Kluyveromyces lactis: one gene and its partners. The protein of the gene in region 3 purifies or fractionates together with the protein of the main gene of each other region. This does not show direct contact. Links are inferred from orthologs where the notes say so. Each region holds a gene or a part of one and is shown on either strand. Other genes may lie near its edges.

What was found. Proteins that work in one complex are often made in the same cells at the same time.
Region 1: the proteins of PUF6 (region 3) and NOC2 purify together in Saccharomyces cerevisiae (affinity purification with mass spectrometry; 3 studies listed by BioGRID, with this or other methods). This does not show direct contact. The link is inferred for Kluyveromyces lactis from reciprocal best matches to the Saccharomyces cerevisiae genes PUF6 and NOC2.
Region 2: the proteins of PUF6 (region 3) and NUG1 purify together in Saccharomyces cerevisiae (affinity purification with mass spectrometry; 5 studies listed by BioGRID, with this or other methods). This does not show direct contact. The link is inferred for Kluyveromyces lactis from reciprocal best matches to the Saccharomyces cerevisiae genes PUF6 and NUG1.
Region 4: the proteins of PUF6 (region 3) and YTM1 purify together in Saccharomyces cerevisiae (affinity purification with mass spectrometry; 5 studies listed by BioGRID, with this or other methods). This does not show direct contact. The link is inferred for Kluyveromyces lactis from reciprocal best matches to the Saccharomyces cerevisiae genes PUF6 and YTM1.

Annotation. Positions count from the first base shown.
Region 1 is NC_006042.1:100,754-107,162, forward strand, and holds NOC2 (mRNA-binding ribosome synthesis protein NOC2), read right to left. Parts: upstream 4,151-6,409; coding exon 2,012-4,150; downstream 1-2,011. Other genes in the region: DNA-directed RNA polymerase III core subunit RET1, read left to right, coding at 1-1,006; MEI5 (Mei5p), read right to left, coding at 1,090-1,746; GEP3 (Gep3p), read left to right, coding at 4,416-6,230. UniProt on the Saccharomyces cerevisiae protein: Involved in the intranuclear transport of ribosomal precursors.
Region 2 is NC_006040.1:1,172,066-1,177,907, reverse strand, and holds NUG1 (RNA-binding GTPase NUG1), read left to right. Parts: upstream 1-2,238; coding exon 2,239-3,831; downstream 3,832-5,842. Other genes in the region: SUA7 (transcription factor TFIIB), read right to left, coding at 234-1,307; PAC2 (Pac2p), read left to right, coding at 4,207-5,685; TMA20 (translation machinery-associated protein 20), read right to left, coding at 5,838-5,842. UniProt on the Saccharomyces cerevisiae protein: GTPase required for 60S ribosomal subunit export to the cytoplasm.
Region 3 is NC_006039.1:1,045,897-1,053,101, reverse strand, and holds PUF6 (pumilio-family RNA binding domain-containing protein), read right to left. Parts: upstream 3,990-7,205; coding exon 2,001-3,989; downstream 1-2,000. Other genes in the region: CORVET complex subunit VPS3, read right to left, coding at 1-1,790; myo-inositol transporter ITR1, read right to left, coding at 4,545-6,254. UniProt on the Saccharomyces cerevisiae protein: RNA-binding protein involved in post-transcriptional regulation. Component of the ASH1 mRNP which transports the ASH1 mRNA to the distal tip of the bud, where the ASH1 protein is translated and targeted to the daughter cell nucleus.
Region 4 is NC_006039.1:645,662-651,013, forward strand, and holds YTM1 (Ytm1p), read right to left. Parts: upstream 3,347-5,352; coding exon 2,012-3,346; downstream 1-2,011. Other genes in the region: KLLA0_C07403g (uncharacterized protein), read left to right, coding at 608-1,894; FSF1 (Fsf1p), read left to right, coding at 4,457-5,352. UniProt on the Saccharomyces cerevisiae protein: Component of the NOP7 complex, which is required for maturation of the 25S and 5.8S ribosomal RNAs and formation of the 60S ribosome.

The sequences.
Region 1 (6,409 bases), on a different chromosome or scaffold from region 3:
TGAAAATGGTGAGCCTATATGGCAACACCAAGCATTAGGCCCTGATGGGCTAGGTGAAGTTGGAATGAAGGTTGAAAGTGGACAAATTTATGTCAATAAATCTGTTCCAACTAATGCGTCGGATAGCATTCTAACTCAAACACAAGCTCAGTACAAGGAGACTCCAGTGGTATATAGAGCTCCAGAACCTTCTCATATTGATCAAGTTATGATGTCAGTTTCTGATAATGACCAGGCTTTGATCAAAGTTCTATTGAGACAAAACAGAAGACCTGAATTGGGTGATAAATTCTCATCGAGACATGGTCAAAAGGGTGTCTGTGGTATCATCGTAAAACAAGAAGATCTTCCTTTCAACGATCAAGGTGTAGTACCAGATATTATCATGAACCCACATGGTTTCCCATCTCGTATGACCGTTGGAAAAATGATTGAGTTGATATCAGGTAAAGCTGGTGTCTTGAATGGTACCCTTGAATACGGTACCTGTTTCGGTGGATCTAAGTTAGAAGACATGTCAAAGATTTTAGTCGATAATGGTTTCAACTATTCCGGTAAGGACATGCTTTATTCTGGTATTACTGGTGAATGTTTACAAGCTTACATTTTCTTTGGTCCAATCTACTATCAAAAGTTGAAGCATATGGTTCTTGACAAAATGCACGCAAGAGCCAGAGGTCCAAGGGCAGTGTTAACGCGTCAACCAACAGAAGGTAGATCTAGAGATGGTGGTCTAAGATTGGGTGAAATGGAACGTGACTGTGTTATCGCATACGGTGCTTCACAACTATTGTTGGAAAGATTAATGTTAAGTTCTGATGCCTTTGAAGTCGATGTTTGTGAAAAATGTGGTTTGATGGGTTATAGTGGATGGTGTACAAGCTGTAAAACCGCTGAACATGTTGTCAAAATGACTATTCCTTATGCAGCCAAACTTTTATTCCAGGAATTGCTTGCGATGAACATTGCACCAAGATTGAAATTAGGCGATGTCTTTGAAGCTTGACTGTAAGCATTTTCTGACGATTCTAGTAGTAACATTATTTATTCAGTATTACTTATAAAGCATCATTTTCACTTGAATTTTCATTATTGATTAGTATATACCATATCATAGTCAACTTTTAGTTTAGCCGCTAGCTCCTGCAAAGTCATTTCATCATTATCTTCTTTCCTTAGTTCATTCTCAAATTTCTGGAGTTCGTTCTGTTTCATTTCTTCTGCTTCTCTCACTTTCTCATCCATCCGTTCCCTGATTTCTTCCTTTTCTTCAATTGGCAAATGAAAGAAGTCCGGAGATTCCAAGATCTCTTCCATTTGTTGTTGAATGCCGTCATCGTATTGATACTCAACTTGGCGCTTTCTTGCCTCTATTTCTTTCCGCTTATACTCTTGATAACCGCCCATTCGATCAATTTTAACCAATATGGTATTCAACATGTAAGACATCCCACATTGACATATAGACCTCCATTTATTTATTAATTCGATAGTCTTGAGTTCGTTGTCGTAAGTTTGCATTATTTTCACTGCCCTTTTCAAAGCAAACTCTTTCTTCGTAAGATCTCGTATTTGTCGATCAAGATCGTTCTCTAACCTCCGGATCTCCTTTAAAAGTAACACACTACCCGTAGATCTTTCTTCAGGGTTTCTGCAAGATAACTTGGGCAAGATATCACTAAATGAATCATTCTCTTGAACTAAGGTTGTTTCACTATCACCTTCAAAATTCATGACATTCGACATAACGCCTGTAATGAGTACTGGTATAAGAATTATTCCACTTGGTCAAGTTATGCCTACCGCAGATTGTACTCCCGAGCTTTGTATTCTGAATGTAATGTTGAGTATACATGTTTAAAATAATTTACATAATGTAATTTCTATTTTCATGAAATTTACCGCCGATGTCTTTGACAAGGAGGCAATCCAATATAAGATGGTCGAAGACATAGGATTACCAATGAATTTAAAATTGAAGAAAGTTTGAACTTATCATACAATCATTTGATTATTCATCTGCTTCAGATTCAGCATCATCCATTACTATGTCTTGGGCTCCGTCAGAAATATTTTCTTCTTCTTCATCATCGTCAGATTCCAAGGATTCTCTTAAGAGTCTGGCCTTTTCTTCCTTAACCTCATTTTGGATAGCAACCCAGGAACCAAGAGGAGTATCTTTCCACGATATTTCATTTAAGAATTTTTCTACTTCTGTTCTGTTGTTTGGTCCGAAGTCTACATCTGATCTCTTCTTTGTAATGAATTGAGCGTTTTGGTTGATTTTATCTACCACGTTTTGCAACATCTTGTTAAACTTTACATTCTCAGAATTCTTGATATAACGACGTAATGAGATAACGGCAAGCGTTGTTAATTCTGGGAATGAAACGCTTCTGGAGTATAGAACAAAGTACTCACCTAGCAAATCTACAAATTGCTCAGCTAGCCCGTCTTGGTATATTTTTGTCCCCAAGTATGCTTGTGTACACTTGATGTTATGATCAAAGTCAAATGCAGGTAACGTTGACTTTCTAGGTTTCTTTGTGAATGCAGTAGAGGAGAGAATCTCAGATAATAATGGGTAAACTGGAATGAAGATACCAGTGTTTTGAGATAATCTGATCAAGGATCTGATCAAATAAAATCTCAATGGGAAAAATTGTGCTGTTGGAATCAATCTAATGACACCAATGGTAACTTGGACTAGTGGGTAAATCAATTGTCTAAGAGGGGATTCGTGGCCGTTTTCCTTTTCTGGGTTACATTGGATGGATATAACACGAGACCAGAAGTCCAAAGAGTGACAGAACTGCCAGTTATATACAATCTTGTAAGCACTTGATGGGTCCACCTTTGAGGACCTCTTAGTTGTGGCATTGATACTGTTTCTCAAGTGAATGGCTAGTTGTCTGATATATTCGAAACCCGATTGATAACTTATAACGTCATCAATACCGAAAAGTTCAGCAGCAGAGTTCTTTTGGAAATTGATTAGAGGCATGTTTCTGATGTTAGTTTTACGACAACTTTTAATGAAAGTAGAATACGTGGACTTCAATACAACTTCTAATAAAGCTTTCTTATATTCACGAGAGGCATTGTTCAAAAACGCGAATGTGGCAATTTGAGTTTCAACGTCTCCAGTAGTGGACCAAACTTCGACGACTTGAGAAATTAATTCTTTTAGTAATCTTCTAAATGAAATAAAGTATGGTAATAGCTCATAGGTAGAATGCAAAATCATTGAAGCGACGTCTGTGTTTGTGATGTCACTTAGGAGAACGATAAGAGATGGAACGTGCGATTTCAAAACAGAGGACAATTTTGTAACATTTTTATTTGATGGGAGAGTTCTGGTTTCATTCTTACTGACCCTATAAGGTGTCAATTTTTGGACGGCTTTTGGCATATCCACAAGGGCAACGAACATTAACTCGTGGAAGGCTTTTTCATCAAGAACTGTGAACTTGTAATCGTCTACATTTTCCTCGTTGTTCATGTTCACAGCAGCTTTAAAAGCTGAAACCACACTTCTGATAGTTTTGAAAGATGGGCTATTTTTTAAATCCTTCTTCCATTTATTTACGAGCTTTATGTCGACGGCAATTTTGCTATCTTTTTCCTCCTTCTTGGACTTTGATAAATCAGGTTCTTTCAGTTCTTCTTCTTCACCCACTTGCCCTTCTTCGTCATCTGATATTTCATCTAGAGGATTGGTAGATTTGAAAGACAAAAGATCTGGTTCGTTCTCTGCCAAATATTTGTAGAAATCAGGATCCTTCTTTGCCAAATCTTCCATATCCATTTTAACATCTTCATCTTCTTCGGCAGAAGACTCTGAATCATTATCTTTCACCTTTGATGCTTTTTCGGTTTCTTTAGCCATTTTCTTTGACATTTTTGGAATATCGAACCCATTGTCGAAGAACTCTTCAACCTTCATGTCGTTGAAGACTTCTTCCTTAGCGGACTTCTTCAACTTTTGATCTTCTTTGGTCAACGCAGCTGCATTCTTTTCTTCTTCTGTCTTATTACCCCTACGACCGGCGGTTCTCTTAGAATGATCTTTTAACTTCTTTCTATGGTCCAACGTATGCTTCAAGTGTTTCGTCTGAAACTTTTTAGTAGCTTTTGAAACTTTACCCATTGTGTAATTCTTGATCCCTTTATCAATAGGTAACAGGTCCCAAGATTATGCCTTTGATCAACAATATGATTTCAAGAAGATTATCTAGAGCGACTACTGGTTAAGTTGTTAGAGCTGCGTTAAAGTTTCTCTATATCTCTTCTTGGGGCATCTCATCTCATCTCATCTCATCTCATCTCATCGGATTGAATTTTGGTTTGGATATTTGGAAAACTTTTCATGGCGTTTCTTTTTGTATCCGGGTAATGGCATCGCCTTGACATCGATGAATAGTGCAAGTAATATGGTAATTGACATGCTTGGAAAGGTATCGACAAAAGATGCAACAAACTGCAAACAGAATGTCGAGAGATGCAACAGTTTTGAGCCGTTATTGATAAGAGTACTGAGGTATATGCATCAGAAAATAGTAGTAGTATTACCTTTTATGAAATCACGGCTCCAAGCTTTTAAGCAGTTTACTCGGTTTGTATCATGCAAAAGCTGTGGTGTTGAGTTGCAATCCAAGAATCCTTCTGTGACAGGCTACTATAAGCCTCCTCGCGCTGTCAGGAAAGATGCTGGCACCATTGAAGATTTGAAGTATTTAATGTTCACACAAGAACTTCAGCTAAAAAAACATGAAATCGGGCTACTTGATCCAGACACCGATCCAGATTATAAAGAACCTATTCCCAAAAGATTGGTTTGTAAAAGATGTGTCGATGCTATAAGTCATAACAGGTACAACTCATCTGATTTTCCAATTCATTCTTTCAACGATATAAAGGGCGCTTTGCCGCATGCTGCAAACGTATACCACGTTGTGTCTTTGTCTGACTTTCCCTTGTCATTAGACAAAACTATCCTGGCAGAAAAGAATAATAGAAACTATTTACTACTTTCAAAGGCTGATCAGATCACATACAAGTCATCAATGCTACCACATAAAGGGAGTGCTTTTTTTGCGGAATTTTGTAGACGTCATATAGGCGTACATGTTAAGAAAGTAGTATTGTTCTCTAACCCAAGAAATTGGAATATTCCATCAGTGATAAATGCTTTGGCTAAAAGATGCTATTTATTGGGTAATCCTAACGTTGGGAAAACGTCTCTCATTAATTCTTTGCTCCATGAAAAATCAACAAGTTTCCAAGCTCAACTTGATAAGAGAGGCAACGTTATTGGTCCTCCAAAAGGCCACGAACAAATACAAAGTACTCGCCGTAGGGCCATCTTCAATGAAGGTGGAGTATCACATATTCCCAACTTTACCAGAACCATGCAAACTTATTTGATAGAAGATAAAGTTGTGAACGATTTACCAGGGTATACAATGGATCCTACTAAAGTATCCGATCTAGCGAATTATATCGAGAAGGAAACGCTTGATAACATAAGGAAAACCTCAAAGTTTAAGATTGATAAACTGATAAAACAAAATTACACCTCTTTGACGGGTTCAAAAACTGGTAAATGCCTGTCTTTTGGAGGAATTTTTCATCTTGTTCCACCAAATTCCACTATAAATCAGGTGGTTAATTACATTCCTCTTCCGGAGCATGAGTTTTCAAATGTCGAAAAGGCTGTTAGCTTATCTCTAGAGGTGCTACAGTCAGAAAATCATTCACTTCGCCAATTTTTTGCTCTCAAGAAACCATTTACTGACATTAAGATGTTTGATAGGCACGTAATTCCTCCATTTAATGGAGCAATCGAAATTGTTCTAAAAGATATCGGATATTTTCAAGTTAAACCTACTGGAAAATATGGTTTCAATGGTCTTTATGAACTCTGGGTCCCTAAAGGTATCAGGGTATGCATTAGAGAACCGTTATCAAAATTGATATCAAAAAGCTATGAAAAGTATATTGAAAGTGGAGACATCGCCGATGTTTGTCCAACCGATCGTCCACTAATTTCAGACACCTATATTATGAACCATACCGAAGAAGATACATTTGCCAGAATGAGAGAAATGTACATCAATAGGACTTCAAAAGATATTCTCTCAAGAAGACTTCTTCAAAAAGATCCCAACGATATAGTTGGAACTCTTCAAAGCCCACCATCAAACTTGTACTGGTATTACAAGTGGTGATTGGATACACAAAACTATATGCAGCAATATGGAAATAGCCCTGTAAATAGAAAGTAAGTAGTTTTCGGTATTGAGCGTAATAGGGAACAAAGCGAACAGAGAAGTATCATGACTAATTTCTTTTGTTTGCTTGTCTGTTTCTTTTACTTTCCTTGACATGTTCTCTGCATGTGTGATAA
Region 2 (5,842 bases), on a different chromosome or scaffold from region 3:
AAGTTTCTGAGAAAGAAAGTTATAAAGTTCAAATAATGTGTTAGATGCAATGAAAAAGATAGGGAAAGAATTTATGTATATTATAGTTGATCCGAGAATTTTATAGGATATTCAATTCAAATTTGGAAACTGGGTATTCTTCCCAACTAATGGTTTTCTTTTCTTGATTTTTTTTTAATGTTAGTATTAATATTCTTTTTTTTTTGGGTTTTTGTAATGGGTATTGTTAATAATCAATTAGCCTTCTCACTTTTGTCATTACTGACTCTAGGAAGGTTGTCCCATTTCACGACACCAGATTCTATCAGTTGTGGGTCGACCACTTTTTCTTTGTGTTCGTATAATGCTTTGTATCCACCTTTCACGGTACCTTCTGTGACTTGTAAAGTCTGAGAGATTCTTGTAGGACTGATATTCAATTTGAATAGTAGAGTTGCCATATAGATAGCTGCTGCTGCGATGGTGATAGGAGATCTACCAGCCAAGACATTGACATCCTTAGAGTGTTTCGCGATGTACTCTGCAGCATTAGCCACCTGCACTGAAAGGCCCAAATGAGAACAAAATCTAGGGATGAAAGTCTCTGCACTTGTCTGTCCTGTGGTGATATTTGAAGTATCAATATTGGCAAACCCTCTATCATTCTTTTCTCTTAGAATGTTCTTGATGATGGTAAACGTCTTCCCGATTTCCTTCTTCCGCACGTTAGTCAAGGATAAGATTTCCTTGAAAGATCTCCCGACCTCTGCTCTCCGACATCCGACAAGAATAACTGAAGCCATGATACTTTCCTGTGATTTCCCCTTCAAGACTCTCTCTTCGAAGCATAATTTATAAGCTTCTTTAGCACAATCTTTAACAATCTTGGGCAGTTCTGCAGCATCACACATCATAGTAATCTTCGCATATGCAGCTTGCAACTCGTTATCCTTCTTGTCAACGATAGATTTCGACTGAGCCCTATTCAAATCCCTAGTAACTCTAGCATCACTTCCCTGGGCCTGCCCGATACGTGTGGTTAAATGGTTTCCATCCAACAAAGGATTTGAAGCTTCACCAACACGACTTGGATCGTCTCCATTCTGATCGTCATTGCTAAAAGTACGCCATTCTGACCTGGTATCCACAATTCTATCCGATAAGACTAACCCACATAATGCACAGACGATATCACCTTCACTAAACCGTTCCACAACTTTCGGAGGATAAACTTTACATTCGGGACACGATATAACAATGTTCAAATTTGGCCCCCTCCTTCTAGATGAGACAGCTACATTTGCTGAAGCTGCTGCTGGCAATGACATAGTTTCTCTTTTCTCTTGCCTCGGTATATGACTCAGAACAGCCTAAAAAAATAGCTGGAAACTGAACGGTAAGAAGTCGAATGATGAGCCGCTAAGATAACTAAACTTAGGCGCTGCTTTTGTTATAAAAGAACAGAAGAAATACCGATTAACCAACTAGTAGACGGACAAGACTGTGTAAGTTGCAACTGGATAGCTCCTTATCATTTTAGTTTCTCAATTTCTAAGCAAAAATGCTGGAAACTCGACGGAAATATATATCACGTGATAAACGCCACAGAAACAACCGTGGCATGTCTCTTGTTTACGGTTGATGAAAATTTTCACGAGATCCGGGTAACAAGTAATAACTTCGCAGTTATTACTACACTGACTGGAAGTAGAGAGGATGAGAGATGTGGTAAAACAAGTTCCACCCTCGCAACTTCGTATCGTATATCACGTTATATCAGTTCTTATTACTGAGATGATTTTTGTTCCCTGCTAGTGTCAAAAAAAACTGCGCAACGGCTACTGGGCTGCCTTTATATGTACTGACAGTTTCACTGCCCTTGACGGTATTACTGTATATATAATGTTAAATATCTGCCTGGAAGTGCTCATAGATATACCAAATACGTCCCAAATATTATTGACACAAATTATGGCTTGCGAGTAGCATAAGATTGCCTCGTAATTGACGAGTATCCACTGTGTTTCCACTGTCGTCCGCCAGCAAAAAGAAATTCTTTTCTACTTTGAAATTTTTCAGCTCTTCGAAATATGTTAAAACCTGCGATGAGATGAGATGAGATGAGATGAGACTTGATATTTACAGAACACCTGTTCAAGTAGATGTTTCAGTACTGTTTTCCGTGATAAGTTCACCGGAACAGCTAAGATATCTATAATCCAGTGCAGTAAATATACCTTTTTCCATTAATCAAAAGAGATGGTGAGAGTAAGAAAGAGAACTTCCAAGAGAACTTCCACTCGTATGAAGGAGGGTATCAAGAAGAAGGCTGCTGCTCAACATAGGAAAGAGCGGAAACTTGCTAAGAAGGATGTGACATGGAAATCCAATAAGAGTAAGGATCCAGGTATTCCGGCCAATTTCCCGTACAAGAACAGGATCATCGAAGAGATTGAAGCGAAGAGAAGAACTGATTTGGAGGAGAAAGAACGTAGAAAGCAGGAAAGGTTAGAGGCTAAGAGAAGAACTCGTGAACTAGGTGAAGATGTTGGTGATGACGATGAATCTATGGATGAAGATGAAAACGACGGCAACAATGGTCTTTCTGCTTTGTTAGAATCCGCTCAGCAAGCTGCAAAGGAGTACAATGGGGAAGGTATCGATGATACAATGAATGGAGAGCAAGAGGATTTAGAGGTTGCTGAATACGACGTAGACTTTTACGCTGACGCAGATGATGATGATTCTGAATTAGAAAAGTCTAGAAAGGCTTACGATAAGATATTCAAGACTGTGGTGGATGCGTCCGATGTTATCCTTTACGTGCTAGATGCAAGAGATCCAGAAGGAACTAGATCGAGAAGAGTGGAACAGGCCGTGCTTCAATCCCAGGGTAAGAGACTAATTTTGATCTTGAACAAGATCGATTTAGTGCCACCATACGTGTTGCAACAATGGTTAACCTTTTTGAAATCCTCGTTCCCTACTATTCCATTGAGAGCTGCTCCTGGTGCCACTAACTCCACATCTTTCAACAGGACTTTGACTCAGGCTACAACTGCTTCAAGCTTGTTAGAAGCTTTGAAGACTTACTCCAATAATTCAAACTTGAAGAGATCCATCGTTGTTGGTGTCATCGGTTATCCAAACGTCGGTAAGTCGTCTGTCATTAACGCATTGACCTCTCGCCGTGGTGGTTCTTCTAAAGCATGTCCAGTGGGTAACCAAGCTGGTGTCACTACATCTATGAGAGAAGTCAAGGTAGATAACAAGCTAAAGATCTTGGATTCTCCAGGTATTTGTTTCCCAAGTGAAAATAAAAAGATGAGTAGAGTGGAACAAGAAGCAGAGTTGGCCTTGTTGAACGCTCTACCTCCAAAATTCATCATAGATCCTTACCCAGCTGTGCTCAAATTAGTGAAGAGACTTTCTAAATCTGAAGAAATGACTGAAAGTTTCAAGAAGTTGTACGAATTACCACCTATCCCAGCTGCCGATGCAGACTCTTTCACCAAACAATTCTTGATCCATATCGCCCGTAAGAGAGGTAGATTAGGTAAGGGCGGTGTTCCAAACTTGGCCAGCGCTGGTATATCCGTTCTTAACGATTGGAGAGATGGTAAGATCCTAGGATGGGTTCTACCCAATGCTTCTAAGGAATCTGCTGCAGAACATGCTGCTACATCTGGTGAAGCTAACCAACCAACTCTAGGTACTGGTGCTGTCGCAGCACCAGCTAAGGTGGAACAAACGACCATTGTTCAAGAATGGTCCAAGGAATTCGATTTGGATGGTCTTTTCGCGTCATTGGATAACGCCATTGAAGCTGAACAAGACAACTTAGGTAATTGAGAACACAGAAAACGAATTATTCTGCATCTCTATGAAATACGATCAAGGATCCTATTGCTTATTTTATTTCGCATCGTTAAAGCTATAGATTTAAAAGCTTATGTATTAGGATGTGAATTTGAACACCCGTTTCAGTCCACGCACCTAATAGACAATACACATTTGTACACTACTACATATAAATGATTTAATATCTTCTTCGGCAAGACGTTTTTGTCATCTCTTTTCTTTAGGTAACAAACCTTTAAATAATACTTTAAATGCCTACTAAAATCAAAATGTTTAAAAGAGTGAAGAAGAGAAATAATCCGTGAGTCTACCATACGAACTCCAGGCTACACTATGTGTACAGCGTGACTAAATCTAGGGCCAAATATGCAGATCAATGTCAATGATAGATTGAATATAGGAGGTGAGTTTTGCACAGTACGATACATCGGATCATTGCCAGAATGGCCTAATATCGTTGCATATGGTTTAGAGTGGGACAACAAGCAAAGAGGTAAACATGATGGAACGTTAAACGGAGTACGATACTTCAGAACATCCGATGGACAGAGCAGTGGCTCATTTGTGAAGGAGACTAAACTAGATACATCTCGGCAAGAGAGAACATCGTTTGAAGGTGCATTATTGATGAAATACGGTGATACTTCATCAATCGATATTACCTACAAATTTGGGTCGAAAGAGACTGAGTCATATGGATTTGAGCATTTGAATGAAATGAACTCTGATTTTGACAAGTTGGAAAGTATCACGCTATCAGAAAACAACATTTTCCGAGCTTTCAAGACAACCTGTTCGAGCATTCCGTTTAATAGTGCTCATTCTTCTCTGCGATACCTTGATTTATCCTTCAATCTGTTTTCTGACATAAATGAGGTGTACCGCATACTGCGACTATTTCCATCTGTCGAGACTGTTATATTGAGTGGGAACTGTTTCACGAAGTTAGAAGCGGATTCCAGTGAACAGTTTGAATTTTCCAATGTCAAAGAACTATCAATGGCATGTTGTAAGCTCCGAAATGGAGATATAGAGACAATAATAGAGGCTTTCCCTCAAATAAAGGCGCTAGACATTTCTTCAAACTTGCTATCAAAACTTCCAGATGTTTTAACCTCATTACAGGAAATCAACATATCTGATAACCTTTTCATTGGCTTCCCAAAAGTTCTTTCAAAAGAATCATCCTTAACTAGCATTGACATTTCAGAAAACAAAATATCAGACCTTAACGATCTCAACACCAACAGTCATATCATGACTCTTAGGATTGATAGAAATAGGATCACAAGTTGGGAGGAAATAGACAGTATAAATACGGTTTTCCCTAAATTAGAGACGCTTTGGATTAAGAAGAACCCGGTATGTTTTGAAGATACGCAAAAAGGTTTCTATAGTATCATCGCAAGATTGAAGTCTTTAAAATGTGTGGATGGAACTAGGATAAGTGAGGATATAAGAAATGAGGCAGAACTCTATTTCATATCGCTGGTTTTATCGTCTCAGATAAATTATGATACGCAAAGTGCTATGTGGAATCATTTGACACTGAAGCACAGCATAAACACAGAAAGTAGAACCACCGTCCAACAAACGAATTTCCTTTCAAAAGAACTGATTGAAATTCCAATAGTTTATGATTCTGAACCTATCAAGTTGAAACTATTGAAAAGCTTCAGTGTGCGTTATTTGAAGACCTTTCTGCGATATAAATTTAATCTACAAGGCGAAATTTCCCTGCAATACTCTGTCATGGACAACATCAAACACGATTTCACCAATGAATTCTCTCCCCTAGCAACCTATAATATAGAAGAGAGTACTATATACATCAAGTCCAAATAAGACCTTTATCAATTAAGTACATTAGAACCAATGAAAGAAAAATGGTATAAAAAAGATGACTATATCGATTATGTACTTTGAATAATGCTGATGACTACGTTAACAGTAAACGGGAAATGCCAAGTGAGCGTAAATGTGATAACAAATGCGCTTCAAT
Region 3 (7,205 bases):
ATATCATCAGTCAGCATTTCTTTAGAGTAAGTATCGGGTAGCTCTTGGAAATGAGTATTCAGGTAATTTATGAGCCTTTTTTGATCTGTTTGTCTTAGTATTTCGAGCAATGGGGTCACTTCTTTTGTCTTTTCATATATGGCTATTAAAGTTTCTGAATGTTCTTTTTTATGCTTAGAAAGCTCTTTAGCAATTTCTTGGTAACTAGTCGCCTCGTATTCATCAACATTTGAACTGCCTTTAGCGATGTTATCACGTAATAGAATTAAATCGAGCGATAAATAAACGTTCGCACTATCTTTTAAGCTATCGGAACACGTTTCTTTTAGTTGAAATTTCAAGTATTGTATGATGTTCAGAACGTCATTACACTTGTGAACTAGCTTCAATGAATGCAATTTTTTTGAAAATGCTAATAACCCATTAGGAATCCACAAATCTCCGTAAATGTCGAAACCAAGTAGGTAAATTAATACTCTGATATCTGCAACATCAATATATTTGAGCCAGGCATCGATTAAATCTTTATCAATGTGTTCCATATGTAATGTTAACAGCAAGACATAAAGGAACTGCAAGTAGCTTTTTTGAAGAAGCTGGTAATTGCTTTGTGACTCTTCAGTGATGAAAGACTTCAAAATTGGAAGAGTATCTTCGCCATAGCTCGAAATGGTGAGTAGAAATGGCTTTCGGCATAAAGAATATATACCACATTTTCCGTAGATAATCATGTGGCATTCAACCGCAATTTGTCTGGCCACATATGCTTTTTCTTGTTCTTCTCGAAATTGGAGTTCTTCTGCAATTAAAGGGACATATCTTAGTTTTTCAATTAATTCTTTATTAAACTGTCTCGTTATGAAAGGAGTCTGCAACTTTGTAATATGAAACGGGGTTTGATTTCTAACATTTTGTATAACTACTGGGTCGTTGTTTTCTTTTATTAAATGAATTTGAAGGCATTTAGAACCATGTAATTCTGATAGCACATACAGATTATCAACTATAACTGTGAGTGGATAATTTTCTATAACCACGGTACCGTGAGTGATTTCTCCATCATCGTTTAATATAAGTCCCATACAGTTTTGGTCATTTGATATTCCACATGTGACGATATATTCACTTTTTCCAAAATTTGTCACAATTGGTGAGAGTTCCTCATCATCTGTCTCAGACACTTTGAATAAAGGAGTTACCAGCTCATTTTCAAGATGGATTATCGAGTAAGAGTTATCAACAGCTGCCATAAGGAGTTTTGCGTCTTTTGAAGGAATGGCCTTTCTAATTCTCTTGATGTTATACTTCTGTTCGACTTTTATCTCTTTGCTTGTTATGCTTACTCGCTTTACCAAGTTCTTCGTGTATAAGAAACACGAGTAACATTGTGTTTTCTCACAGAACTCCAAAAGTGAAAGTTCTGTTATATTCATAATACTTGGTATATTTGAAGCAGGTGCAAATTCAGGCAGGAGAAACATTTTGAGTCTCCCTTCGGACAACACTAAGGCTCTATCAATTTTCGGCAGTAGCGTTATGCCATCAATTCCTGTTGGTCTGTCTTCATTGAAGTTGACTTCCGAGATCAGTGTGAAATTTCCAACATCTAATTCATAATAGTGTAGTAACGCTCCTGAAGTCGAGCCCAGGTAGATGTGCTGACCATAATATTCGATACATGAGTACTCATATTCATGAGGCACATTCTCGATTAATGGTGAAACAGCATATAATCCATCGGTTACTTCAAAGGCAGTTGAAATGGGTTTCTCTTTAGTATCGTCATTCATAAGCCATCAATGCCACTGCTGTAATTAGTGAATTGAGGAATAAATGTTCTTAGCTGTATTATCTCTGGTTCGCAGATGATAGTCTCATTTAAGGAAGTGTGAATCTTAATAGTAGACTAGAACGTCCTTCGTCCACAATGATGAGAAGCTATATCATCTTTAATATACATATTTTAGAGCCAAACTATATAACGACTTGACTATACATACTCAATGCTTCATTAGCTTTAGAAGTAGTTGAGCACCCTTGTTTGAATCGTTCGTCTCTATTTTCTTGATCACTTTTTTCAAATCATGATCGAATTGTTCCCCTTCTTCAGTCCCATGTAAGGCTTCATACAATGCCACAATGGTAAAAGAACTGTTGGGTTTGTTGATCCAATCGAGTAGGTTGCTGGAATCAATGATGTCTTCATAAAATTTTTCAGCAAATGGAATACCAAGTCCCTGAACTTTTTCTAGAGGTTCTAGTTTTCTTGCTTTCACGTTGTATCTACCATTTTGAATGAGAGACTTTAGCAACCTTGCCGAAAATGGTTTGTTAATAGGGTGGTCTTCTTCTGAAATGTCACCTTTGAAATAAATGGCGACGGTGTCCACAAGCTCGGCAAACAACTTTTGATCAGACTCTGAAAGTTGTTCATAGACATCATCGTTAACGAGTAAATCTGCGACAAATTGAGAACCGATGTTTTCATCTAGAATGGTTTTGTAGTGTTCGTTTACGCCAGATAAAATCATTGGTGCGAACCTTTTTAATAATTCAAGTCTTCTTTGGTCAAATGGCTTCTTGGAAGTAGTTTCCGACATCTTAATGTATCTTTGTAGTTCATTCTTCATATTTGGACCGAAGTATTTACCATCTAATCCTAAAAGTAGGAATAAGAGCGGCCTCCTACCAAATTTATCAACAATCAATTCTGGAAGATGTTCCTTAATTGGTGGGGAAAATGCCTTGGAGACGAGAACAGTATCATCGACTGTCATTAATAAAGTTATGAAAACAACGGCACCGTGTTCATTTTGAATTAACTTGATTGCATGTTCTTTCAAGGTCTTTATCAACCCCTTTCTTTCTTTGGCATTTGCTTTAGCGATTAAAGTAGATGCAACTTCTGCACCTTCTGGGGTATGCACTAATTCCGCAAAGTTCTCTTCTAAAAGTTCGATGAACTCAGATGTTTCTTTATCGTTGGCGATTTTGACGTATTCCCTCATTGCTGCGTGTAAAATCTGGAAACCTGCCGAACCTTTTTCAACAGAAGCAGTGATGGTACCAATCAAGTTTCTAGCGATAATATTTCTCTTTTCTACGCTGGAAGCACAAACTTCTTCGAGCGTAAGTTCCTTATGAGATTCTCTGAATACGGCGTATTCTGAACCCCAAAATTCTCTGATCATTTGATTTCTTTGTTCTTGAGAGGCATAAAGAACAAACAAATCTTCGACCACATAGGCACCTTCACGGTGTCTCATTAGTTTTCTCAAATTACCATGTAGTTGATCGATTATGATTTGTCTAGATTTTCGGGAACCATAATGTAACAATTTAACCAACAAATATTTACCATATGATGATGTGGCCAAAACATAAATTTTATCTTTCAATGCCAACGTGATCTGTTCTCTGCGCTCTTTGGAAGAATATTTGACTAATGTCTGGACAATTCTGGATGCATCATGCTTCAATACTAAATCTTCAATACAATCATTCGAGAGTTCCCAGATCTCATTACATAGCTTTTCACGGACAGGCTTTGGAATTGGAGGGTTCTTGACACGTAATCTTTCCCATAAAGACTTGATCTGCTGGACTGTTTCACCAGATTTACGCTGAAGTTTTCTCTCCTTTAATGTTTTTCTTTGTTCGGCATGCTGGCTGACACCATTACTTTCTTTTTTGTCTGCATCATTTCCGGTTCCAGCATCTTCTTCATCTTCAGCATCTTCTTGATCCTCATCAGATTCATCCAGTTGATCAGATTCGTTGTCTAGCTCGTCTGAATCTGAATTTGAGCTAGCATCATCTAATTCATCATCTAGCTCATCTTCTGAAGATAAACCGTGGAGGACATCATCAGAATCTTCATCGCCAGAATCAACACTAATGTTTTTAGCTCTTTTTACAATTTTACCAGAATCCTTCGACTCCTTAGATTCCAATTGACGCTTGTTCAACTTTTTCGACGTGGCTGCCATATCTGTAGTGCTGTATTGTCCTACGAGAGAGAATAAGAATGTATATGTTGTTATTTAATGCTACCCATAGTGCAGTTACTACTGTATAAGCTCATCTCATCTCATCGCTTCTTTTTCAAGTTCAGAAAATTTTCATAATATGCTAAAAAGAAAGAACTCAAATAAACATTCGCCAGAATCTCTCTTTTTTTGATGGGGGGAATATACAGTTGGTACAGGATTTGGCTGATTAAACCGAATATGGCAGTTTATTACATGCTTCAAAGATTTAGCTCTATTTCTCGAAAGCTCTCTCTTCCGAGTTAGTTAATTATGAAATGAGTAAATGTCACCCTTTCAAACTAACGAGATTTTTATTGTAAATCACAAACAAGTTGAGTTTTACACATGACAATGATAATATTACAGTAGTAATTGTGGACAACTTTAGCAGCTATAGTTGTTAATTCTAAAAGATTTTATGGTTATCTATATACTCAACTTCATATGAAGTTCATTGAAAAACCAAGACAGTAGCTTCGGGTATGAGAATAAGAGGGAATGACTGCATTTACATTAACTTTCAAGTAGTTCATCGGAGGGTTTATCCTTTTGATAAGCTTCCATGTCCTTTTCTCTAAATCTCCTTTGCATTTCGCTATTTTGTTGCTTTCTCTTCTTGGCTAGTTGTTTGGAAGCTTTGATGTTGAATCCATCACTTAAAATAGTTTGTACTTCCTCCAATTCTAGACCAGATAGTTCTGGATAACAGAGATAACAGAAGACGGTAGATACTGCAGCTAGTGCAGCAAATAATGAAAATGTACCAGTCGGTGTTATGTTTTGTAACATTGTTAGGAAGGTAGATGCAATAATTAGGGAACCAGCCCAGTTAGTAGCTGTACAATAAGAAGTACCTACACCTCTAACGGATGTTGCAAATAATTCAGATTGCTGCCATGGTACAGTACCGATACCTAGAGCATAGAATGCTGCATATACCATGATGAATACGATAACGACTATACCCCAAGAACTGAATCCACCATTGGAAACTTCCGATTCACCAGCGCCAGTGAATTTTATATCTAGGAAATGGAAGGCGATAGCACACATAACCAAGGAAACCATCATACCAGGCAAGCCAATCAAAAGGATTGCTCTACGACCGACCTTATCAATCGCAAAGAAAGCGACTAAAGTGAATACGAAGTTAGTACCGGCAACGATGATAGACACTGCAGTAGAATTTTCGAAACCAACAGTTTGAAAAATAGTACCAGAGAAATACATTAAAGAATTCCAACCACAGAATTGTTGAATACCTTGTAAAGCACAACCGATCACCAATGCCCTGAAATTGCATGGGACAGTATGTAATTCTTTGACAGTGTTGAAGAACTTGTGTACAGGGGTCTTACCTGGGATAGCCTCATTCAAATCTGATAGTTCACGGATTTTTTGATCGATAAGTTCCTGGGGAGCGTTAATGTAACTCTTTTGTAAAACTTCTGCAGCCTTCTTATAGTTACCTTTTATCACGTAGAAACGCGGAGTGTCTGGCAAGAAGCTGAAGCATGTAAATTGCACCACAGTTGGAATCAAAGAAAGTCCGACTAAAATTCTCCAACCGTTATGAACTTTATTCAACCCAGCACCACATGCATAAGCGATCAATTGACCACCTGTTAGCCAAAGTGAGTTTATCACCGTTAGTCTACCTCTGATATGTTTTGGTGCGATTTCAGAAATGAATAATGGCGCTAGTAACGACCCAATACCGACACCGAACCCCATAATTAATCTACCTACTGCCATTTGCCAAAATGAATGTGCACTAACCTGCAACGCAGCACCAATGACAAAAAGAATATTAGAGAACATTAGACAAGGTTTTCTACCAAAAATGTCGGCAGAAATCCCTGCAAACACTGCTGAGATTAAGGCACCCAAAGATGTTGCAGCTGTAATTATTTCCTTATCACCATATGTTAGAGCTTTATTATCCAAGTCCGTACCTATAGAGACCAATGCACTCGATATATAACCAGTATCATAACCAAACATGAAACCAGAGATAGATGCTGTAAAGGTCAAGATCAAGATAAACGGAGAAATCTTTTGGTTGAAAGTAATCATGACTGAAGTGTCATCTTCATCATTGACCGGTTTGATAATGATTCTATCCGTGGTTTCATTTTCAGATGAGTCTTTCAATTTGCTTTGAGAGATATCATCGAAAATGATGGGAGAGACATCACTGGAATGCTCTGAAGTATCGTTCATTTTTGTTATTTTCTCTTTTTGATAGATGGGGAAAACAAAAAGCCTTCTGCTTAACCTTTTGAAACTTATACAGAAGCGAATGTTTAAATGTTTCCAAGGAGTACTGACAGTTGATATGACAGTGTTGTTAAGTGTTTTCAGGAAGAAACACTGCTTATTCTTTTCTTTGGTATCTAATCAACTGAAACAAGATAACGTCCGGAAACTAGAAGCTATTGTAAAATTGAAGATAGATGGAAGGTCTTTTCTCAAATCTTTTAGTCGCGTTTCCTTGTGGAGTGTGTCTTAATGATCGTTCTGTGAAAGAAAGCCAATGCAGAAAGGATAATCAGAACAAAAAGCTAACGGAACTACAACACCAAAAATGCAGCACTTATATAACAAAAATAAGCAAAAAACTTTGACGTAGTTTTGAAAACTCGTAGTAGGAAATCAGCGAAAAGAGAGAATAAAGTTCAATAGAAAACCCTCGAACAGAAACCGAAACAAGCACTCTTTAATTTCAAATTTGTTCTTTTTATTTCTGTAATAAAAAACAACCTATCAACCAACTCTAAAACGTAAACAGAAACCCGTGTTTAGTTTCTCCTTTTTGACAATAAAATGGTCTTTTACCTGATAAAGAAACTGATTCGAAGAGGTGATTCTTTGTGTTTCTATATGACCTGGCTGTATGATCCTTGAAACTTTACAGAATTTCTATATCATATATTTTTCTCTCCCAGAATACCGAAAAGATGCTCAGAAGGGACAAGAAAATCGAAAATTGTCATGAACGCACTATATTTAAATGGTTTTTTCTTGCAGAGAAAAACAAAGAAAAATTCAGGCACAAACAAGACTGTAGAGGAAATAGCGGAAGACGAAACATAGATACTGAAAAGAGAAAGGTATCCATGTTTGATGTTTATCCAACTCGCAGGGGGAAAAACTACATCGTCGGTCTCGAAG
Region 4 (5,352 bases), about 400 kb from region 3:
TCTATGTACACGTATATTGCGGTTCCTTCAGAATGTTTACCTTAACTTTGTAAGTGAAGTGAATGGAATCTGAAGTTTCTGATATTTCTTCTTGATTCATTTCAATCCTTCGAATGGTATTCATTAAGTCACGATACTATAATAACCTCTTTGGAGCCGTTGTTGTCAAATTATATAACTAGAAAGTGCGGTAAACAACAGCTTTCAGAATATATCATTTCGTTTCAATGGCTTTCTCAAAGCTATATTTACCTTGACTCTTATTTTTCTGGTATTTTCGTTGTCCCTGTTGACAAAGTTATGTATAATTCTACTTAACACTTCTAAATAGTCGCATCTGCACCTTTCTAAGGGCCTCTCACTTGGACTTCATCTGATAAATAGTTTGACAACTCAAAATGGCCTTTGTCTATTAATCCCTTCTCACTGACAAACCTTTTTGACCATTGCATCACTTTGAAAGTCAAATGCGTTCATAACAAATTTAGTGTATTTCTAGTTTTTACCAATTAATGAGGTGCAACCGAACAAAAAGACAAAGCTATGAAGATAAACCCCAGCGTAGATAACTTTAAAGAGAGTTGCTTTGTGACCATCCTTACGTGTTATGAATTCGGTGTTTAATAGTATTCTGATTATTATTTTATCGTTGGGAATGGCATCTTTTACCAGAAATAAAGCATTTAAGAACTGGCTTGTGTCAAAGTTGGAAAAATCATTAACAACATTACAGTCTTATCCACCGGTCTCTGCTAACTTCAAACTAGTCGATTCGCCTTATTTTACGAAGCAGCAATCACTTAAAGATATTGCTGCATCATTATCACAATTGTGTGAGTACAAGATCAGAGCTCTAAGACAAAACGGGATAGTTTATCAACGAACAAGCAACGTAACTCCCAGTGATATAGAACAGCTTAACCAGATCGGTTATTTCGATAAAATAGTTGCCGTGAACAAATCAATTGATGTAAATTATGACACCTTGAGCAAAATTATAGAATATACTCTAAAGGAAATACTTGTTAACAATGATTTTAACTCAGCAATTGAATCAGTACTGAGAGACGCTGGTTATACATGGGACAAAGAAAATGACACATTGGTTCGCGATTCAATAAATTCCATTCGATTTTCTAAAAAGAGTAACCAAAGCCGTGTGAATGAAGCCATGTGTCACATTGTCAGAGATTGGTGTGATGTTTATGATTTGGAAAGAAAGCCTCTTGTAGATTTCATTGAGGAGTCTTTCGGAAATTGTGACATCGATGAAGACACATTAATTGTTGTACCAGGATCTGGATGTGGAAGGCTAGCTTATGAGGCAGCCAATCGATTTCCAAAAGCAAAGGTTACATCTATTGAATACTCGTCTTTGATGTATTTGTGTAACGAATATGTCCTCGGAACTACGGACAATATCACCGTTGATCCCTTCTATCAAATTTATAGTGGTCAACAAAGTATGGAAGCGCAAACCAGGCACTTTAGGATGGACTTGGATAAGTTCCAAAAGCCAGAGAACTTAACAGTACTTTTCGGTGACTTTTGCTGCTATAAACCAGAGAAAAAATACAAAAATATAATAGTATGTTCTGCATTCTTTATTGACACAGCAGCAAACATGTTTGATTACTTCAATGCTATTGAGATGCTTTCTAACAATTGTACAGGACGTTTACACTGGGTTAATGTTGGACCGTTGAAATACGGAACTAGACCACTAGTACAATTCACATACGATGAGCTAGCAAGACTACGTAAATTACGTGGATGGGAAGATCATTCCAACCAGGTTGATGTTAAAAATTTGAATGGTTACCTAACAGACTACGAATCCTTATTCCAAGGGTTTTATGGTCTAGCCAAATTCCATTCGGAACTAAAAAGATAATTAACATTAGAACCCTGCAAATACTATGTTGTTTCTCAACATTTTTTGTGGTACATTTCTTTTATATTTAAGTGAACTAGTGAGCATAATTCCTGTATATAATATATAAAATTACGATTAGTTACTAAATATATTATCACCTTTATTAATTTGAATTTTTTTGTCTTGACCACCGCTGATGATACCTACGCCTTTAGCCCATTTGACAGCAAACACTTTATCATTGACACCTTTAACAACATTTTTATCTTCTCTGGTGATAGTGTACATTGCAGTGTTAGACCTAACATCCCAAACCTTGACAGTTCCATCGTGAGATGCAGAGCATATCATATATTCATTTTCTGGACAAGTATCCAAAGCGACAACGAAGTTCTTGTGACCTACAAGCTGCTGTTGGGTGATTTTAGATGAAGAATTTACACGAGGATCATGAAGAGTAATGTGTCTGGCACTCGACCCGCATGCTAAGAGATTTAATTTTGGTAGTTGCGCAACAGAAAGAAGTGAGTACGATGTCGTCTTTGTATCGACACATTTTGCCGTTATCAGATCCCATGTTTTTATAGTATGATCTTGTGACACGGAATACCCAACAGTATCATCCGATTTATCGAAAATGACAGCCTCTACTGGAGCACTGTGAGATTCAAAAAGAGCCAAAGGGGCTCTTCTTCTGATAGATCCATCTTTTAGAGTCAACTTTCTCCTCTTCTTGGCTGCAGTAGACACGTTGCCTCCTAAATCCTCCATCGGATCAATGACAGTCATCTCTTTATAATTCGTGGACCACAAGCTCACCGTATTATCGCATGATGCAGATAGAATACGGTCTTTCGAAACATCAATGGACACTACAGGGGCTTTATGACCTTCCAAGATGGCCAATGTCTTACCATCCTCAATTTCTTCTTCATCAATTGATTTCAAATCATCATTCTTCGTTTTCCACAGACGTAGAGTGCGATCATTCCCTGCGGACACCAATCTCGTACTAGAAATGTAATGCACAGCACGAATAGGGCCAGAATGACCACTGTATTGTTTTTCGACTTTCCCTGACAAGTTGTACGTTCTTACGATACCGTCATAGGAACCACTGTAGATGTAATTGCTTCCGACATCCAATGAGCTTACCCAATCTTCGTTATCAAAACTAGACAAATATGAAGGTGGTAGCACTGCTCTAGTATATTCAACATTCAAAAAGGTTTCCGATGATAAACCTTTCTTGATCAAATAGTCCTGCAACGATGTTCTCAAAAGTTCACCATCGATAAGGAAATCAAATGGCATAGATTTAGGTAATTCCAGTAGGTGATTAACAATTTCAGAAAGACCATATCTCTTTAGACTAACTGGAGCATAGATTGGAGCATCATTGACATGTAAAGTCTCATCTTCTTCACGAGTAAAGAAGCGTAGCTTCACCTGAGTCTTATCTGTTGACATATTCCCCTACAGTTTACTTCTCCTTATAACTAAGATATTCTTCCAGTGAATTCTAGTTTGAATTGTCTAATAGATTGTGATCGCACGTTGTTACTGAGGTACGATGGAGCGCGTTAACTCTATTCTTCCTATCTTGTACATTTTCTAAGCGTTGTAAGATGCGATGAGCTTGGAAAATTTTTGGGAAACAAACCACTGCTCGAAAAAGAAATCCGCCAGAAATAAATGCCAGTCACGTGTATATGTTTTAAGGAACCGGGTAGTGGAAATTAGTCAGTACACCAATAGCTAAGTGACAGACTAATGACCGTGTAATACTAAACATTTTCACGAGTAATATATGGTATATACAAGTATAAGTAAATTCAGGAGTGACAAGAGATAGAGAATGTCCCGCTCACGCAGCTACCAATTAAAGCCAATTGATGAAAAATAGTTAAGTACTTTAATCAGTATGAGGTACGCTCGCGGATAGAATTTTCATCTAGCCGTTCTTTTCCCCTCTGTTCATCTACGGTGTATCAGATGGCACAGTGAATAGAAGGCATTAATATGTTTCGTATCACTTTTTTAAGCCAAATAATCAAAAGAACAGTCGACTCGAATTTGATTAACTTAGAGTACTTGCTTTAACCTTGTCTTTTTCTCAAGGTGAAAAGCTTCTCAATTTATACTGGATGTCTGTTCTTTTTTTTTTTCAGGCAGAGAAAATTAGTTGTCCGGGTAAATTATCATATTACCTTTAGACATGTTAAGAATATGATTAGGGCAAAGACAAATATGTTATTGCTAAATTGGAAATCGAAGTGGTTGGAATCATCATCGTTTCACTAGTACAGTTTCTCCGAGAATAAGAGAATTATAATAACCTATTGCTAGATCAATAATTACTGTCTTTTTTCTTATCAGAATTCCAGCAGCTTTGTAACGCCGTACGTATCATTCTGACGCTGCAGAATGAAAAAAAAAAATGCAAGCTCGAGAGAATAATGCATTTATATCTAAAGAGTCATCTCATCTCGAAAGTAATTAAGCAAGAACAAAGTCGTGTTTGTCTCGTAGAAGCTCAGCTCATCCAAAAGACTTCGATACACTTGAGTACAGCTTATCATGGCATCCAGTGTCCCAGGTCCAATTGCCCTACCAGAATCTCGTTATGATCTAAGCACCTATTGGGGACGTGTTCGTCACTGCGCAGAGATTTCTGATCCAACGATGTTGTTAACGAGCAGTGATGATCTTCAACAAGCTCGCAAAATCATCAGTGCATATCGCCATGGAGAGTTGAAAGAAACGACGCCTGAGTTCTGGCATGCAAAGAAACAGCTAGATTCTACTGTTCATCCTGATACTGGTGAAACTGTGTTTCTCCCATTCCGTATGTCCTGTTGTGTGCCCTCAAATCTGATAGTTACTGCTGGTATGTTAACTCCTAATATGGGTACCGCTGGTACCCTGTTCTGGCAATGGGCTAATCAATCATTGAATGTTGCTGTTAATGGGGCCAATGCAAACAAATCTCATCCTATGTCCACCACTCAATTGATTACCAATTATACTATGGCCGTCACTGCATCGTGTGGTGTGGCAGTAGGTTTGAACAAACTAGTTCCAAGGCTGAAACATCTATCAGCAAACACTAAAATGATCTTGGGACGTCTTGTACCCTTCGCAGCTGTTGTATCAGCAGGTATAGTTAATGTATTCTTGATGAGGGGAGGCGAAATCCGTAAAGGAATCTCAGTTTATGACTCCAATGGAGATGAGGTTGGCAAATCAAAAAAAGCAGCCTTCATCGCTGTTGCTGAAACAGCGTTCAGTAGAATATCAAATGCTACACCAATCATGGTTATCCCGCCGTTGATCTTGGTTAAACTACAGAAGACTGTATTAAAGGGGAAATCCATGGCAGTTCAAACTGCTGCCAATTTAGGTGTTATTTTGGTCACGTCTTTCATCGCGTTACCATTTGCGTTGGCTGTGTTCCCACAATATCAATCGATCTC